Mus musculus: one gene and its partner. The protein of the gene in region 1 purifies or fractionates together with the protein of each later gene. This does not show direct contact. Links are inferred from orthologs where the notes say so. Each region holds a gene or a part of one and is shown on either strand. Other genes may lie near its edges. The genes, in order: Gemin2 and Snrnp70.

Region 1 (3,820 bases):
ACTGTTATTCACTTGGCTTGCTATTGTAGAATATATAAAACTGCTTCAAATGAAAGAAAGCTAATGTTTTTAAGTAGCATTTTAAAACATTTCATACTTTAAAAATTTTATTTATTAAAATCATATTCTTAACCAGGCAATGGTGGTTGTAATCTTAGCACTCAGTACTTGTGAGACTGAGGCAGGAGGATCACTGAGTGATTTTTAAAAATTTCATGTATCTCTGTGACTGTGTGTGTATGTGTGTGTACATGGAAGGACTATCTTCAGGAGTTGACTTTCTCCATGGACTTTTTCTACCATGTGGGTTCTGGTGACTGAACTCAAGTTGTCAGGCTTGAAGGCACTGAGCCGTCTGCTGGCACTTACAACGCGTGTGATGGAGGTACCTTCAAACTTAGATGCAGGTCAATCGTGAAGAACAAGGAGTTAGGCACAACATGTACGGCTATAGTAGCTACGCACATGGTTTGGGTGTGGTATCATGAGGATTTGAAGTCAGGTCATTCTGGCTTACACAGTGACTTATAGGCCAGCCTGGCTAGGACTGTCTCAATGTCCTCCACAAAGTCACCAAAAACTAAAATATACTCTCAAGATTTCATGTGAAGGATATGTATTAATTACTCTAAAAATTTCCTAATTGGGCCAGGTATGACTCCCAGCACTCAGAAAACAGAAGCAGGAGGATCTCTGAGTTTGAGGCCAGCCTGGTCTACACAGGAGTTCCAGGCCAGCCTGGTCTACACAGGAGTTCCAGGCCAGCCAGGGTTACACAGTGAGTCCCTATCTGACAAGAAGACAAAAAACACAAAACAAAACAAAAACAAGGGTTTTCTAGGGCTGGCAACATGTTTCAGTGGGTTAGAGCGCTGACTGCTCTTCCGAAGGTCCTGAGTTCAAATCCCAGCAACCACATGGTGGCTCACAGCCACTCATGATGAGATCTGATGCCCTCTAGCTAAAGTGTACTTATAGTGATAAATAAATCTTTAAAAAAAAAGTTCTCTAATTATATGTTTTTCTTTGTTTCTGACTACTTAAAACTTAATATTTAATCCAGGCCCAATAATTTTGAAAACAAAGCAAAACACCAAAACCCTAAAGTGACTCTTGAGAAGTCCACACTGATGTTCTAGGGTGTGTATTCTGAGTGCCTCTTTCTCCACTAGTCTCTGTGTTTTGAATTCATATTAAAATGTTTTTATTAGTTCCTAATCCTGCTTCACAAAATACCCTGATCAGAACAAACAAAGTACCAAGCCCTGAATCCTAGGAAGAAAGGATAACATACACTCAGTACCCTAGCTATCCAGATGACTCTGGGGGGAAGAAGGAGTGGCAAGGCCATCCAGGCAAGGAGACCCTGTCCCAAAATAAAACAAACAAAAACTCCCTTTACTAAAAGAATATCTTTTAATTTATAAGATTATTATATATCTAACACTAAAGAGATAGGAGCCTGGTACATTATTTTACAAACTTGACTGACACTCTCTAAGTCAACCAGCCATGACCTAACTGAGAGCCTGGCAAGCATCTCCTACACAGAATTGGACAGTCCTGATCTTTGCCAGTCACACAACATCTCGGTGGTCAGACTTGTTCTTTTTTTTTTGAGACAGGATTTCTCTGTGTAGTCCAGGCTATCCTCAAACACACAGAGCTCTACCTGCCTCTGCCTCACAAGTGCTGGGACTCGGCTTTGTCTTTCTCAGCCTGTGAAAGAGCAAGTGACTCTCAGGTCATGAGGTACACACAAGCAGGCTGCGGTCTGAATCTGGCAGAGGCTGTGGACTGATCGTTCCGATCGCCTAACAGATGTCTGCCCTCTGTGTCACTTGGTGTGTTTACCTATGGCACCACCTACTTGTACATAATCGATCCCAGGGCTTTCCTCTGTAGACGGTCCAGTGGCCCCTTCAGCACATAACCTTTCACCCAGACAAAATTTTTTCCAGCCTTCTTCATCTTCAGATTTTGGCTGAAGGAAAAAGTAAAAAAAATGAAGCCAACGAAATCACTGAAGGATACTTCAAATGCAAGAAATAAACAACTAAAAATTTTGGCACATTTTCTTAAAAAAAAAAAAAAAAAGTGAAGGTTTCACACATCCTGACTGTTCCCAACACAAAGACGCGGTACTAGTTAAGGACATAACTGCGTAAGTATGCTGCCCTTTAAATCCCTATGCTGCAGCTCTCACTGCCAGAACTGTAGGCTGTGACTGCAGCTGGAGGCATGAGTGAAGTCTAATCCAATCACATGGCCTCTCTATTATTCACTTGTGTGTGCACATAAAGAACAACTATTACAAGGCAGTAATACCTAAGAACACTTTCCAACTTCTCAGCCTTATTTACTTATTTTACTACAACTGATATACCATTAATATTCTATTTTGACCCTGACAACAACATCTACCGTAAATCTCTCAAGATAAGGCTAATTAAAACAGTCATGGGCCAGGCATGAGAACACGCCGGCACTCCAGAGGCAGAAGCAGACAGATCCCCGTGTCTGAGTTAGCCTGGTCTACAGAATGAGTTCCATACCAGCTGGGGTGATATAGTGATACTCTCAAATAAAGAGAAGAAAAAAATATGAACTGGTCCAGACTATTACTATAGCAAATTGATAAACTTACATAATGGCATATGATGAAAAATAAAAATAATAGGAATAACCAATTAACTCTTTAAAGACTAGACTATGGATTATTTCACACAGGTATATACTAGACAATTTAAGCCAAGAAACTCATTTACCATTGCCACATTACTGTCCAACTGTTGTGATTTCCAGTGATTTCTATGCTTGTGTACACTCTAAAGGAAGAAAAATAAATGCTCTTCAAAGAATGAAAAACAAAAAAGTTTTTGTATAAAATTTTAAACATTCACAGAAAATACATACTAATATGTTTAAGGATTAGAACAATTTGGTAACTCACTCATAAATACTTACGTATTTATAATTTTTTAGTCTTAGAACAGAAATACACCCGAAGGAGGTTAATTTCATTAAAAGGGACACTTGCCTGTCGAACAGTTGAAAAATGTGCCACTTGTTGTTGTTGCCACTGAAGTGTTGGAGAGTAACCTTCAGGCGCAGGCTGGCATCCGGAAAGCTGAAAATCAGTCCACACATGTTAGAGTCAATGTTAGTGTTGTAACTAGAATCTTATGTCTAAGATTATATAAGAAAATAAAGGTACATTTTATCAGAGCAGAAAAGCAGGCAGCTCACTTTACAATCTATGTACCAGTTACTAAAACAGATTCTTTGGCATCTTACTAAAAAATACGGACTAAATGATTATGGGTGAAGTCTCTATGAAATCTAAATTCTATGAACTAAGAATATAACTGCCCCCCCCCCTCCCCCGGTCTCATTGGGTAGCCTTGGATGCCTGGAACTCCTTCAGATCACTAGTTGAGGCTGGCCTCAAACTCAAAGAGATCCACCTGTCTCTGTCTCCCAAATGCTGGGATTAAAGGTGTGTGCCACCACCAGCTGGCTGATGATTCTAGAACAGTGAAGAAAAACAAACAAACAAAAAAGAGATATACCCCAAATAAAGAATTTGGGAAGGTCAAAATATACCCAATAACTTAAAGACGTGAAAAGGTCTACTTGATTTCCTTTACTTTGTTGATGGGTGGTGTGATGGTTTGTATATTCTTGGACCAAGGAGTGGCACCATTTGGAGGTGTGGACTTTTTGGAATAGGTGTGACCTGGTTGGAATAGGTGTGTCACTGTGGGTGTGGGTATAAGATCCTCACCCTAGTTGCCTGGGAGTCAGTCTTCCACTAGCA
Region 2 (3,109 bases), on another chromosome or scaffold:
CTACCTCTTAAAATCTATCCAAATGACACTAGCAGTTTGAGACAGATGTCAAATGTGGCACATGAAGGCAATGTTAAACATCAATTCCTGTCTCTAATGCCTGTCACAAGTTTTCATTGCCCCAAGATTTCTACAGCAAGATGCTCTTAGTAAAACCATAAGCCTACCTGCAAATGTGGCAAACACAGGAATGAGTGAAGTTCCCTTTCAGGACCAGCTATCTGTGCTCTCATGATGTAGATGCTTCTCAGCTCTCTGGTGGTATCTGTCCTTGGTTATATGTAAAGACTTATAAGCCTTAAGCAGCAGATTGGAGTACTATCATTCAGCCCTCAATGGGACTACCTTCAGCCTTTCTTCAGGACTGTGCCAGGCTGGCCCCAGCTTCCTCAGGGCCCACCATACTCAAAGCTCTCCCAGCTGCCTTCCATCCAGAAATGTGTGGGTACCAACTGCTGATGGCTGGCATCCTGCCTCTTTGCCTGCTGTTCTCTCACTTAAAGATGCAGCCTGTTATGAGAGCCAGGGCTTCCCTCTCACTTGTAAAGCAGCTACAGTGCCTGGGAGAACAGCCTCTACTTCAGGTTATAACACGTGCAGTATACCAAAGGGAGTTGAGCAGTAGGAAGTGGCCTTTTGGAAAGACAGCAAGTGCAGTAAGACATCACATGCCCACTATCAACAGAAAATTAATTTTATTTTTAAATCCAAGGGACCGGATTAAAAAAAAAAATCTACCCTCAGAGGCAAGCCAAGGTGGAAAAGGCTAGGAAGGCAGACAGCAAGATTAGGAGCATGTCCACTACAGGCCTCTTCATTCGGGCGCTGCCTCCATCAGATATCCATTCTCTGGGGCCATGTACCCATCACCACCCTCTGCCTCCATGTACATGTCTCGACCATCACTACCTAGCCCTTCCAGCCCATTGTCCTGACCGCTGCCACCCCCACCCCGGGCCTCATCCCTGCCCCGCTCACTGCCCCGCTCCCCACGCTTGTGCTCTCGATCCCGATCACGGTCTCGGTCCCGACGACGTTCCCTCTCACTCCGGTGACTACGTCGCCTCTCCCGGTCTCGATCCCGGCCCTTCTCCTCTGGGCCATCAGGGCCTTCAGGGCCAAGCTCTCCAGGAGGCCCATCATCAGGAGCTCCATCACCAGCTTCAGAGGGTTCAGCCATGTCGCCGCCGCCACCACCACCACTGCCACCACCGCCACCACCTCCTCCACCTCGAAGCTCCTCTTTTCGCTCCCGTTCCCTGCGTGCTCGCTCCCGGCTCCGACTGCTTCGTCGCTTTCGGTCTCGGTCCTTGTCCTTGCTACGCTCCCTGGACCGTCGCCGCTCATCCTTGTCTCGACTCCGGGAGCGCCTCCTCCGGTCCCGAGAGCGGGAGCGTCTCCTTTCTCTCTCCTTGTCTCGTTCTCGGCTTCTTTCTCTGCGCTCCCGCTCGCGGTCCCGGTCCCGGTCTCTGTGTGGAAGCGGGGAGGGGCCCGGCCTATATGAGGTTAGCACTGTGTGGCAGGGCACCCCTTGTGACTGCCCTATCCCAAGAAACCAGATGCCCAATCTTACCTCTCATCATATCGGGAAGTGTCATCTCGGCCCGAATGCCTGATATTCACATCTGCCCCACCTCTTCTGGTACCACCAAGGCCACCTCCTACGGGCAAAGGAACACAAGGTCAGTGGAAACAGTACAAAGGGGAAAATCTTAAAGGGGCCTATGCAGCTGACAAAAAAACAAGCACCCCTACTAACTGCCATGGGGCATAATCTCCTGCCAATCACTTCCATGTCCACTGGTTGTAGGATAGCCATGTTATCCACAAGACTTTTACAAAGTGCTAGAGCTGAGGACACCCCAACAAGAACCTTCTTGACTCCCAAGCTGTCCATCTTACCTGAGGCTTGAGGTTTTATTTAGGCTAGTCCACTACCAATTTGTACTTTGAGCATAAAGTCCAAAGTGTGAACTCATAGAAAAGCTGAAAGAAGCTAGGTTTGGGATTGTACCCCTTTAATCTCATACTTTGGAGCAGAGGCAGCCTGGCCCACAGTGAGCTTCAGGTCAGCCACTACGTGGTGAGACGAAACAAAACAAACCCAGAAGTTGGAACACCTGCCACACCTAGATTCCCAGGGTACACTACATTTCCAGCCTTCTCAGCTGCCTCGTGCTCCCCACCTTAGCCATGTAACATTTACCTTCTGAGGAGTGAGCTCACCTTCCTTGTCTCTGTACCTTCTACTTCCCTGTCAGTCTCAAAGCACCAACTCAGACCCTGCCCTGCTCATCACACTATAGCACGCTCCAACGAACTGTTAGAGGCCATCAGTACCTCCCCAACTGTTCAAAGAAAGCACTACCACACCTCCCCAGATTCTGATGTGCCACGAATACTTCAAACTTGCAGATTCAATACGTGGTCTATAAAGGTGATTTTCACCCAACCAATAGCACAAGGGAGCAGGTGACAGTCTTATCTTTCAGACAGGGATCTACTAATGAGCCACTTGCCCCAGTGACTTGGCAAGGAGGGTCATGTCTCAGAATCCCATCTGCCTGTGGTGGTTTCCTGCACCATCCACCTGAAGGTTTAGTGAGGTGGGGCTGTGTTTCACACAGGAGCACAGGCAAAGCGAAGAGGTCAGCCACATGCTAGGCTGTTAAACTAGGTATAGATAACAGGTTGGACTACTGCAAAGCAGGACCCAGACTTCCAGCTGCTGGATCACAGTCTAACAATGAGCTAGGCCATTATCAATACAAGAAAATGTCTATAGTAAGAGTTCTGTAATTTGGGTTGCTTAAAAAAAACAAAACAAAACAAACAAACAAAAAAAACAGGAAACAGCTGCGCAGTGGTGGCGCACGCCTTTAATCCCAGCACTCGGGAGGCAGAGGCAGGCAGATTTCTGAGGCCAGCCTGGTCTACAGAGTGAGTTCCAGGACAGCCAGGCTACATAGAGAAACCCTATCTCGAAAAAACCAAAAAAACCCACAGAAATATTATAAGAACATGTTTTTGTTTTCATCCCAGGTGTGGGCATATGGGACTGCTTTGAATCAGCGGGTTTGCTTCATGCCTATAAGAGGCATGGTTTTGC

What was found.
Region 2: the proteins of Gemin2 (region 1) and Snrnp70 purify together in Homo sapiens (affinity purification with mass spectrometry; 5 studies listed by BioGRID and IntAct, counting the BioPlex papers as one, with this or other methods). This does not show direct contact. The link is inferred for Mus musculus from reciprocal best matches to the Homo sapiens genes GEMIN2 and SNRNP70.

The regions. Positions count from the first base shown.
Region 1 is NC_000078.6:59,016,176-59,019,995, reverse strand, and holds part of Gemin2 (gem-associated protein 2), read right to left. Parts: intron 3,131-3,820; coding exon 3,041-3,130; intron 2,829-3,040; coding exon 2,769-2,828; intron 1,985-2,768; coding exon 1,871-1,984; intron 1-1,870. UniProt on the Homo sapiens protein: The SMN complex catalyzes the assembly of small nuclear ribonucleoproteins (snRNPs), the building blocks of the spliceosome, and thereby plays an important role in the splicing of cellular pre-mRNAs.
Region 2 is NC_000073.6:45,375,783-45,378,891, forward strand, and holds the end of Snrnp70 (U1 small nuclear ribonucleoprotein 70 kDa), read right to left. Parts: exon of another isoform or gene 3,027-3,109; intron 1,662-3,026; coding exon 1,574-1,661; intron 1,497-1,573; coding exon 815-1,496; 3' UTR 672-814; downstream 1-671. UniProt on the Homo sapiens protein: Component of the spliceosomal U1 snRNP, which is essential for recognition of the pre-mRNA 5' splice-site and the subsequent assembly of the spliceosome. SNRNP70 binds to the loop I region of U1-snRNA.